Mus musculus: one gene and its partners. The protein of the gene in region 1 interacts with the protein of each later gene in a biochemical or structural test. Links are inferred from orthologs where the notes say so. Each region holds a gene or a part of one and is shown in the gene's direction. Other genes may lie near its edges. The genes, in order: Cd2bp2, Cd2 and Prpf6.

The links.
Region 2: the proteins of Cd2bp2 (region 1) and Cd2 interact in a biophysical measurement, tested with the Homo sapiens proteins (6 studies listed by BioGRID and IntAct, with this or other methods). The link is inferred for Mus musculus from reciprocal best matches to the Homo sapiens genes CD2BP2 and CD2.
Region 3: the proteins of Cd2bp2 (region 1) and Prpf6 form a complex in vitro, tested with the Homo sapiens proteins (2 studies listed by BioGRID and IntAct). The link is inferred for Mus musculus from reciprocal best matches to the Homo sapiens genes CD2BP2 and PRPF6.

The regions. Positions count from the first base shown.
Region 1 is NC_000073.6:127,193,189-127,197,444, reverse strand, and holds the start of Cd2bp2 (CD2 antigen cytoplasmic tail-binding protein 2), read left to right. Parts: upstream 1-1,367; 5' UTR 1,368-1,516; exon of another isoform or gene 1,517-1,983; 5' UTR 1,984-2,006; coding exon 2,007-2,084; intron 2,085-2,286; coding exon 2,287-2,422; intron 2,423-2,543; coding exon 2,544-2,701; intron 2,702-2,803; coding exon 2,804-3,242; intron 3,243-3,323; coding exon 3,324-3,430; intron 3,431-3,514; coding exon 3,515-3,625; 3' UTR 3,626-4,256. UniProt on the Homo sapiens protein: Involved in pre-mRNA splicing as component of the U5 snRNP complex that is involved in spliceosome assembly.
Region 2 is NC_000069.6:101,285,128-101,289,327, reverse strand, and holds the start of Cd2 (T-cell surface antigen CD2 precursor), read left to right. Parts: upstream 1-1,388; 5' UTR 1,389-1,448; coding exon 1,449-1,503; intron 1,504-1,612; coding exon 1,613-1,921; intron 1,922-4,200. UniProt on the Homo sapiens protein: CD2 interacts with lymphocyte function-associated antigen CD58 (LFA-3) and CD48/BCM1 to mediate adhesion between T-cells and other cell types. CD2 is implicated in the triggering of T-cells, the cytoplasmic domain is implicated in the signaling function.
Region 3 is NC_000068.7:181,653,221-181,656,209, forward strand, and holds the end of Prpf6 (pre-mRNA-processing factor 6), read left to right. Parts: intron 1-1,615; coding exon 1,616-1,742; intron 1,743-2,201; coding exon 2,202-2,354; 3' UTR 2,355-2,441; downstream 2,442-2,989. UniProt on the Homo sapiens protein: Involved in pre-mRNA splicing as component of the U4/U6-U5 tri-snRNP complex, one of the building blocks of the spliceosome.

The DNA.
Region 1 (4,256 bases):
TCCTTCCTCCTCAGCTTTGCCTGGATTCTGCTGCTCCCACTCTCACTGGCCTCCTGGGATCCTCTGCACAGCTTGCAGGACTGGGATCGCCTTTCCAATGGCTTCAGCCCCCTGGAAGCTGAAGGAGGGGCCTGAGAGTGTGTGCAAAACCACCATCTTTAGATTGGGCTGGGTTCTTGGTCAGCAGCTTGGTGCAGTTCCCTGGGCGTCTAGGGTAGACTAACTGCCTGGGGTTCATCCCAGCAGGTACACACAACCAAACTGCGCAGCTCTTGTTTTCTGTGGCTAGATCTTTGCCACACACCCTCTACTCCGGGTCAGGATGATAAAGGTGTGGGCTTCTGTGGCCGTAAAGCTCCACTTGGCACTTCTCAGCAGAAAGGGGATCAGGGTGTGTGGTCTCCAGGTAGAGAAAACCCCCTCCGGATGAACCAGCAGTGCTGAGAGCTGCTTTCTTCAGGGTCCTGTCTGTAGCAAGATGCCCTCCTGGTCTAGAACTTGTGTTCTGTACCCACAGAAGTGAAGTTTCATGATTCACAATGGGAGAAAACCCTGGAGGAGAAAGGCGTGGTCCATCTGGCTGCCCTCTTCCAACTCTAGTAGGATCACCGGAGCTATTTAGCCGAGGGTGGGGACGGGGGTGGAGGCGTTGAGGTTTGAGTTGTTCCCCAGAGCTCCAGATCTAAACCTCACTATTGGGGAAGATCTCACCTGGCCCCAGCTTTGCAGGAGCTGGATCCCAGCCCTTTGGCAGTTTGCTAAGGGATGAGGTAGGCTTCGTGTAACTGATGGGCTTCTGCCTGGTTACAGGCCACGGACGGAAGCCAGTGGCACCTCCTGTGATGGTTGTCCCGCTACAGAAACTAGGAATTAAGTGGGAGAATAGACATGGTGCAAATGACTCCTGGGTTCTAAAAGGGCTTGGTTTGGAAGGTGCCCGAGCGCTTATAATCAGAAGCAGGACTCAGAGAGAAGAGCAAGACTTTCTTTAAAAATAGACGGTCTCATGTTGTATCCCAGACTGTCGTCAATCTCGCGACAATCAATCCTGTTTCAATTTCCCGAGTGTTGGGACTGCGTTAAGATCGGAAGCCCGGGTGTCTACTGAAGGCCACTAGGCGTACAGAACCCTATCCATACATGCAAACGGAAGCCCGAAGCCTCTGTTCGGCCTGTGCCTCTCCATCCAGGCCTTGGGAACCTCTTAGCACACCACGTCCTTATCCTCACTGTAGCCTCCATCGTAGAGGAATAATAAAACATTTCCCGCCATCCTCAAGTCCCGTGAGGCAAGGACGTAGTTCACGCGAGTCTTTGCAGGTCTTGCGTCACTTCCTGCCGCGAGTCGGCCTTGGCTAATGGTATGCATCCGCCCTTTTTGAATAGAAGTGAAGCCACTTCCGGGTCCTATGCCGGTCTCCACGGTTTTTTTCCGGGTGATGAAGGCGGGTGCCCCGGATGTAATACCGGCGAAAGCATCTTTCCTTTTCTTCCCCGCCTGACCCTGGGTTCCTAGGTGAGCACCGGCGGGTAAGATTGTTTGAATCCCCGCGGGTTTGCTTCGCCTTTAGTTTGTACGCCAAGGACATGGCCGAGCAGGTCGCTACGTGGTATTCGGGGATCTAGGCAGCTCCAGCTCTTGGGTCCGACCGGCCTCTGTGAGCACTCGGGTGGGAGAGGTGGTTGAGTTCGGTAGCTCCGGACTGGTAGGGGAGTGGTGACGTAGGGGAACCTGACTCCCCATCCCCGGGTGGGAATACCCGCAGGGTCCACGCGGGGGCGGAGATCCTTCCCATCGCCTCTCCTCCGGGCCTCAGAATTGCCCAACCAACCCCGGACGTCGTGCCTGCTAGTTCTCTCAGATGCTTTAGCGATCTGTCCTCGCTCACATTTACCAGGAAAAATGTTGGTGGCCCCTGCACTCCCCCGCGGTCCTCTCTCCTTACCTCACTTCCTCACTACATATCTTTTTCCGAGGTCCAGCTGGAGGAAATCCACAGCCAATCATGCCAAAGAGGAAAGTGACTTTTCAGGGTGTTGGAGATGAGGATGGTGAAGATGAAATCAGTGTGCCCAAAAAGAAGGTGAGATGGCCAGATTTCGAATTTCCGTGGAGGACTGAGAGGAAAGAAGAAGGAGAAATCTGATGGGAGGAAAGCCGGGAAGCCAAGGAAGTGTTAGTTTTCCCCGGCGCACTGGGTTTGGAAAGATTTGTGTACAGATCCTGGAGTATCTGGGGAACTACCCAGTTGGCTGCATTTCTCATTTGCTTCGGCCTCCTCACAGCTGGTGGACCCTGTGGCTGCAGCAGGTGGTCCTGGGAGCCGCTTCAAAGGCAAGCACTCTTTAGACAGTGATGAAGAGGATGATGATGAGGAAGGGTCCAGCAAATATGATATCCTGGCCTCAGAGGATGTAGAAGGTGAGCTATGTCCGAAGCGTTAACTGAGTTGGGGGGACAAGCCTTCAGGATGGAGGTGGGAGGTGTGCCTGCTTCCCTTTTGCGTGTCTAGCATGCCCCACCCCCAATGTCTTCGGTGCAGGTCAGGAAGCAGCTACTCTCCCTAGTGAGGGCGGTGTGAGGATCACACCCTTCAACCTGCAGGAAGAGATGGAGGAAGGCCACTTTGATGCTGATGGCAACTACTTCCTGAACCAGGATGCGCAGATCCGAGACAGCTGGCTGGACAACATTGACTGGGTGTGGCCCAGGGACTATTCTGGCTGAGGCCTGGGAGTGCAGGTGCAGGGCCTGGGCCCTGGTGGAAGTTTGTAAGAAATTCTAATTATCTTTTCCTTGTAGGTGAGGATCAAGGAACGGCCCCCTGATAAGCACCAGGTTTCAGACTCGGAGGAGGAAGACAGCCTGGGTCAGACTCCAATGAGCGCCCAAGCACTCCTGGAGGGACTTTTGGAGTTGTTGTTGCCAAGAGAGACAGTGGCTGGGGCCCTTAGGCGGCTGGGGGCCCGAGGAGGAGGCAAAGGGAGCAACAGCAAGGGGACTGGACGGCCCAATTCCCCCCAGCGGCTAGACCGGCTGTCTGGGTTAGCTGACCAAATGGTGGCACGAGGCAACCTTGGTGTGTACCAGGAAACAAGGGAACGGTTGGCTATGCGACTGAAGGGTTTGGGGTGTCGGGCCCAGGGATCCCATGACCCCACACCTCCACCCTCCCTGGACATGTTTGCTGAGGAAGTAGCAGAGGGTGAACTGGAAACCCCAACCCCTACCCAAAGAGAGGGTAAGTTTGGAGGGCACGGGTGGGGGGCAGTGTGGGCTGGAGACTGAGTGCTTGAGGCCCAAGTATCGTTCATTGTGTTAGAGGCAGAGTCAGCAGGAGATGGCCTGATGGATGTGATGTGGGAGTATAAATGGGAGAACACGGGGGACGCCGAGCTGTATGGACCCTTCACCAGTGCCCAGATGCAGGTGAGCTGCCCCCTGCCGCGTCTGTCCCATCTGTCCAGCCCACCTTCTGTCAGCTTGCCTGAGTTCTGTCCTCTGTTCTTACAGACGTGGGTGAGTGAAGGTTACTTCCCGGATGGTGTTTATTGTCGGAAGCTGGACCCTCCGGGCGGCCAGTTCTACAACTCCAAGCGCATTGATTTTGAGCTGTACACGTGAGCCCGCTAAGGGCCCCATGCGGCACGGCAGCCCCTTCTTTCTTGAACTTGGCAGAGGAAGCCCCAGCTGCTCTGGGCAGTGAGGATATTGGAGGCCACTTTAAAGCCATTGTTTCCCAATAAAAGCCTTGACTGTGCGATGGCCAAGAGCCAGGGCTTCTCCATAGCTCCTTTTGGCTTCACCTGGTAGGTCCCTGAGCGTTTCTTCCCGAGAGACTTCCTCACTTGCTTCTCTCTGGTGTCTTGGACCACCTCAGTTTTTTTTCCCACCCTTGGAGGCAGAGGTAGGGCCCATCAGATGTCCTGTGACTTTCCTACGTAGACAACTTCTACTTGCTGTGTAAAATTCCCTCCATCACTCTTTTCTCCAGTCTCCCTTGCAAGTCCCTGTTCTGCTGATCTTTGACTTTTAGGACCTCAAATGCTCTGTCCTGGCAGCTCCCTTGTAGCTGGGACATTGGGAAGACCTTGAAATCCTATTGAGAGATTCTCTTAAACATGCATTCTCTTCTTCCATAGTCTGATTTTTCTACCCCTCGCCCCCCTGCAGTAGCTTCTGTAGCTTTTAGGTGAAGTATAAACTTGGTAGCACTTCAAGGTTGCTTGAGCCACCATGTGACACAGAGGGGGGC
Region 2 (4,200 bases), on another chromosome or scaffold:
GTGCCTGCCTAGCATGTTCAAGTTTCCATCCTCAACACCCCAAAGGGAAGACAAGAAATGATGCTGACATCTTAGATAGTAACAGTTTGCACACATTGCAAATATCTTGGCTTGACTTCTCACACATTTAATAGCTCTTTGTACATGCATAGATTCTAGATTTTTATGTGGCCTCTAACGTCCATCTTTACTATTTCTGAATTGTGCAATACATATAGGAAGATTTTCCATACTCAAGAATAGGAATTCTTTTATGTTTCCTGTTAAGTCTTATTTCACTTGGATTTTTCCCCCCTTGGAATTAATATTTTAACTCAACTGAAATGCACTGTTGTGGCTGTTGTTAAGCATCTGAAATGGAAAAACCGTGATTTTGAAGACCTTTTCTCACTGAATTCTAAAGAATCAAAAGACTATATGTTCACTGTATCTCTTGCTCACGTGACCTCTCTGTTGTCTTTTTAGGGACATTAGTCCTTGTATCCCTGTTCACTATTTTTTTATAGTCTTAGGACAAGAGAGATATCTTGGTACTTAAGAGCTCAGGCTGCTCTTCCGGAAGACCCAGGTTTTATTCCCAGCACCCACGAGGCAGCTCACAACCATCTGTAACTTAAATTCCAGGAGATCGATGGACTCCTCTGGCCTCTTCAGGCATGGCGTTCATGGGTGTTGCAGTCACTTTTCAATGGCTGTGACAAACCATCATGACCAAGGCAACTTAGAGAAGGAAGAATCTACTGTGCTCTTACAGGTCCATGGCCAGCATGGCCGGGAGTATGGCAGCAGGCATGAAGCATAGCGCTGGAGCAGTAGCTGGGGGGGTTTTACATTCCTATCCACAGCAGGAGACAGACAGATAGACAGAGTGGGGAAGGGGAGAGGGAAGAGAGAGAGAGAGAGAGAGAGAGAGCTAACAGGACCACAAGGGCTTTAAAGATTTCTAAGCCTACCCTCAGTGACGCACCTCCAACAAGGCCACGCCTCCCAATCCTTCCCAAATATACATATCTGAATTCTATTCCTATGACCTTTTGCCGGTGAGTCTACTTGGTCCTGTTGAAGGCAGCACAGCTGAGTGGCCAGCTATGTTTAAGCCCTTGTTTACAAAAGGGTAGCTATGGCAACTGACCTCCCAGTTCCTCTTCTTCCTCTGGTGGGGTGCTAAAACCCAACACCCTAAGCTGTTTTTGTAAAGATTAAAATGTGACACAGACACCTATTTCGGTTAAGGAGGGCAGCAAATGCATGAGTCGTTTTGATAGGGTCTCTGTCTCTCTCTCTCTCCTTCCCCATCTCTACCTCTCCCTCTCCCCCTCCCCCTCCCCTACTGTGAACAGCAGGCATGAAAGACACGTGGTTCAGGTTGCTGGGTGTGGCTTCTGCCAGCCTCACCACAGTCCTGACAGAAAGAACTCAGAGTCACCCCTGGGAAAAGAACTCTAAAGATGAAATGTAAATTCCTGGGTAGCTTCTTTCTGCTCTTCAGCCTTTCCGGCAAAGGTAAGCATTCGCGTGGAGCTCTTCCGGAGACCTTGGAGTGGACATTAGAGGCGAAGAGGGAGATCCTCCGTAGTCCCGAGACCTCAGAAACCATCTTACTTTTTTACAGGGGCGGACTGCAGAGACAATGAGACCATCTGGGGTGTCTTGGGTCATGGCATCACCCTGAACATCCCCAACTTTCAAATGACTGATGATATTGATGAGGTGCGATGGGTAAGGAGGGGCACCCTGGTCGCAGAGTTTAAAAGGAAGAAGCCACCTTTTTTGATATCAGAAACGTATGAGGTCTTAGCAAACGGATCCCTGAAGATAAAGAAGCCGATGATGAGAAACGACAGTGGCACCTATAATGTAATGGTGTATGGCACAAATGGGATGACTAGGCTGGAGAAGGACCTGGACGTGAGGATTCTGGGTAAGTCTCCATTCCCTAAAGGTTTTCATTTTAGGACGGCTGCTATGTAGAAAGTTGGGGAGCAGCCTTTCTGTAGCATCCCCATCCAATGTTACCTGTGTGGCCCACAATGAAGACTCCAGTGGGTGAGGGTGGCTCTAAAGCCTGTCTGCCTTTCATTCTCTCTTTGGGTGGCTGTGGGGTTGTACAAAGACTCCCAGGTGACAGACAGGCATTAATCAGAAAGAAGACAGGTTAGCAGAGAAAAGACATGGACATCCTTGGTGGCCGATGAAGCTGTAGCTAGACAGGATGTCAGAGGGTGCCTAGGAGCAGTGAGCCTCTTGTCTGGAGAGCTATGTTTAAGCCAGGGTATGATGAGAGGGCATGATACTGAAGAGCAACAGGAGAAGACCAACCAGGAGTCCTCTCCTGTCATCCAAGCGAAGCCAAGCAGGTGGTCTTAGTCTTGGTGAGAACCAGCAAGTGAGCTGTAAGAAGTGACTCATGCCCAGGCTCCTGGCAGCATGGAGTATGTGTGCCAGTGGGATCTATAGCGTTCCAAGAGCTTCTAGTGAGAAGAGTTGTCATTGATAGTCATTGGCCTGGAGTAAAGGGTGCCAGGGAGATGAGGAAGGGTGCAAACATGCCGGGTGTGGGGGTGAGGAGGAAGTGAAGAAGCTTGGGTGGGTGAGAAAGAAGAAAACGAAGCCTGGGATGCTGTCGAAGCTGAAAGTCCAGGGACAAACTGGCAGCTCACACCAATGGGTGAGAGGAGAAAGCCTGCCCTTGGCTTGCGGAGAAAGCTGAGAATGCCTTGTGCAGAATAGATCAGCCATTCAGGGAGCACACAAACATTCTGAGCTTCACACAGGAAATGTCACTATAGAAAGGGCTCCCCTCATCCCCCCGTGGGTGTCCTTCCTGTCCAATACTCAGCACCTGGGCCTAACACCAACCTCTCTCCAGGGCCCCCTGTTAGCTCCTCTGTGCACAACTCTTCCCAGACCCAAATCCTGTAACTTTATCTAGAGAGAATGTCCCAGAAACGGGGTGGGAATGAGAACGACCACTCATCGTATCGAACCCTGTATAGCCTATTCATGTACTCTGTCACTGCGGTGACCATGGCTACTGGAGAGAAGTCAGGTGCTTGTTAGGTAGCCTGGTTTTCTTTGGCAATCCTGAGAACTTTAAATTACAAGCTTCTATCCACCTATAAGGAAACGGGCCTGGCCAGAAGTGGCCGTGTTCTCACTGTTAGACAGGAACAAGGTCAGGCCTTCCCTTGACAAGGATGGTGATATCCCAAACAAGCTCATTGGTATACAATTCACATACCACACAGTTTGCCCGTTTGCCGTGCGCAGTTCAACAGCTTTCTGCATAGTCACAGAGTTACGCGGTTACCACCATAGGCAACATTTTCCCTACCCCCCTCAAAGGAAACCCATACCCTCCGACTAACAGCGGTGGCTTCACTACTGTATGCAAATGCCAAGGTCACACAATACGCTGACTCAACTTGAGGACCTGTCCCCACTATATACGACTATATATTACGCAGCATTGGAAAATTGTCCTCTGACCCACCCCAAGCCTGATTACCCAGTGCAGGTTGTGTATCACTTACTTAATGAGTTTGAGATTAGAAGTGTTTAGGATTGGGGCTTTTGGAAGATTTCAAAATGTGTGTGTGTGTGTGTGTGTGTGTGTGTGTGTGTTCTTGGAGATGGGACCTAAATGTAAACACAACATTCATCCATGCATTATATATACACGTCATACACACTATTCAAGACTAATTTTAAATAGTATTATGTAGGAAACAAGGTCTCACAGCATGAGAATTTCCATGTGTGGTACTGAGTTGTGGCTTGACAGATTTCGGAACATATCAGATTTGTCTACTAGGATGTTCATGAGGCCTATACTATCCAATGAGGTGTGTCATGAGTTGTGAGTGTAACGGTGTCCTATGTGTTCCTAGATTTTACTTTCCCTTATTGGGCAGAACAGTTCAGGGTCCCTAGACTCCTGTGGGGGAGAGAAGCCCAAGATTAAGGAGTCATATCTAGCCGGAAAGTACTGGTCCATGCCTTTAATCTTAGCTCTTGAGAGGCAAAGGCATTTGGATCTCTGTGAGTTAGGGTCCAGCCTGGTCTACAGAGCTAGCTCCAGGACAGCCAGGGTTACCCAGAGAAACTCTGTCTTGAAAAACCAAAGGGGGTGGGGGACAAAGGCATATCTAAGATCGACCCTCTCAAGCAGTCCAGGTCACTTTCAGAAAGCCATTTTAC
Region 3 (2,989 bases), on another chromosome or scaffold:
ACAGAAATGATTATCCATGGTTCATATGAACTGCAATGTCATCAAGTGATTTATCACCTTCCAGCACAGGACTGTGCCACTGGTGGAGACAGAGCCTTAGACCAATTTGGTTTTAAGTGGCATTGAGTGTTCAGATTCTGGTGCAACTACCTTCACATTGCTACCTGGCACCTCTGTAGTGTCTGTAGCCCTAGCAGATGGCCAAGGTTTTAGGTCCCAGCCTTGCTAGCTTAGGCTTCCCTTTCCCAGAGTAACTTCTGTATGCCCTCAGCCAGAGCAGCCATAAACCTTACAAAGAGCTTTATTAAAGTAAATAAGTCACTCCTTGCTGTTCCCAAGCCAGTGTTCCATGTGCCTCCTATCTTGAGTTTATGTTCTTTAAATTACAGTTTATCTAACACTGGGCAATTAAGAGTACTATATGGCTTAAAAAACAATCAAGTTATCAGCATGAAATTACTCCACTTGGTCCTGAAAGCAGCCCACACAGCTGCCTGCAGTGGAAAGGTTAGCTGTGCACCAGCTGCCTCACCAAGACCAGGTGAATACAGTCCCAAGTCCTGGCCCTGCCAGAGTGATCCCCACAGCATTCCATGCCACCCTCCCTGTTGTACACCCTGCTATACTACAGTAACTATGTGGGGGTGGGGGGTGCCATGCGACCCTAAGTTGGTTTCTTTTATGTTGTTGTTTTATTTTTCTGGGACAGGGTTTCTCTATGTAGACCGACAGGCCTTGAACTCAGAGATCCACCTGCCTTTGCTTCCTGGGTGCTGGGATTAAAGACCTGCACCATGCCTCACTTCTAAGTTAGTCTCTAACAGTCCAGTTCTTGGCTTCCTGCCAGACTTCCCTTCGGATTTCTATTCAAGTGTCTGTGTCAGGTACAACAATCATGTGCTATGGTCTGGGTGTCCCAGGTCCCCAGAACTGACATGTGGAAGCTGATCTTTGTGTTTGCTTAGGTTGCTACGAGGGGTAGACAAGGGAGGTTAATAGTGTAGGGTTGGTATCTTATTAAGGAGCAGTCTGAGTTTTCAGGTCTTGTTTTTTTTGTGTTTTAAATCTGCTTCAAGGGAGGTTAATAGTGTAGGGTTGGTATCTTATTAAGGAGCAGTCTGAGTTTTCAGGTTTTGTTTTTTAAATCTGCCTTAATTAATGTTTGTCAAGGTTAGTTTCAAATTTCATTTGGCCCAGATAGTTTTAAGAAGTTAAGATCTAGCCTGGTGGAGGTGATAGTGCATGCCTTTAACCCCAGCACTCAGGAAGCAGAGACAGGCAGATCTCTGTGACTTCCAGACCAGCCTGGTCTACAGTATGAATCCCAGGACAGCCAAGATGGTTACATAGAGAAACCCTATCTTGAAAAAAATAAAAAAAAAATAAAAAGGAGAAATTAAGATCTCACTGTGTATAAATATTCTAAAAAACACTGTGGATCAGTGAAGGATCTGGAATGACCTCCAGGGAGCCCTGAACCATGACTCAGACCTTTTCTATAACATATTTCTAGGATTGTTGGTCTTACCAGGAGCAGGGTACAGCTGATCACCTACGTAGAATGACTCCCAAGCATGGTAGACACTATTCTATGTCCCTTGCTCTCCCACAACAGGTTGTTCTGGAGTGAAAGAAAGATCACCAAGGCTCGGGAGTGGTTCCATCGCACTGTGAAGATTGACTCAGATCTGGGGGATGCCTGGGCCTTCTTCTACAAATTTGAACTGCAGCATGGAACTGAGGTGAGGCTACACTAGCACACTGGTGTGCAGTGGTAATCTGCCTGCTTCCCTAGCTATTCCTGAGACAGTAGAAAGCTCCATCTAATCCCTGGGGAAGGAGAGGCAGGAAGTGGCCAAGACTAGGAGCTCCTCCCCTGTTGAGCTTTGTTGGAACCATGCTTATAAGGCAGGGGGACCAGGGTGTCCTGGGGTCCTCGTTAGAAGTAGTGGCTAGACCACATTGAATCCAGGAAGTACCTAGTTCAGAGAGTGCATCTGGCAACTTGCGGGAATCAAAAAATAGGGAGTCTGACACGATTCAACACAGAGATGCACTGACTATGAGGGCATGTTCCACAAGAGAAGGAGATGGCTTAAAATCTGCTGGGGCCAGATCTACAAGGAGACAGGCAAGACCTGTACCTCACAAGACGTAAACCTCACAAGGAACCCACCTAAAGCACCCTTTCGTCTCCCCAGGAGCAACAGGAGGAGGTGAGGAAACGCTGTGAGAATGCAGAGCCCCGACATGGAGAGCTGTGGTGTGCTGTGTCCAAGGATATCACCAACTGGCAGAGGAAGATTGGGGAAATCCTAGTCCTGGTGGCCGCCCGCATCAAAAATACCTTCTGATAGGAGGGGTGACAATAGGAGCAACACATGGACAATGGGCACAAACCCTACACTGTCTTTTACTCATTAAAGGTTTTTATAGAGTTATGTTGGGGCTTGGGCCTCACTTGTTTTTCTGTTTTGTCCTTAGCGTCTATTCCCCATGAATGATGGTCAAGTCTAGTCTGGTTTGGATGGAGCCTCCTACAAGTGCTTATGTGCTCCAGATAAAAGCATAGCTGGGTATTGAGGGCTTGCTGAGATTTTTGTGGAGATGTTAAGAGTACAGGCTATATGGAAAATACAGGCTCTGTCACAGATCTGTGATACAAGAGACTGAAAGTCACATGGGGACCAAGCTATAAAAGATTGAAAGGCTTGTAGAAGTCTCCATTGTTCCGTAGCCACCTGAGGCAGGCACCTTTGCTTAACTTGGAAGGTGTGAGCTCACTCTTCTGCAGTCAAGGACAGGAGCAGAACCTGCTGATTGATTGATTGATTGATGCTTAGCAGGCTACTTGTGTGCTGATTTGGGGAAGTACTTCTTGCTTCTGTCCCGAGGAGTATCTTAAGAGAGCTGCATGGGCATTTCTATGGAGATATCCATGGGGTTTCCTTTGATGAGGGACCATACCCAGGAGTTCCTTCACAGATGA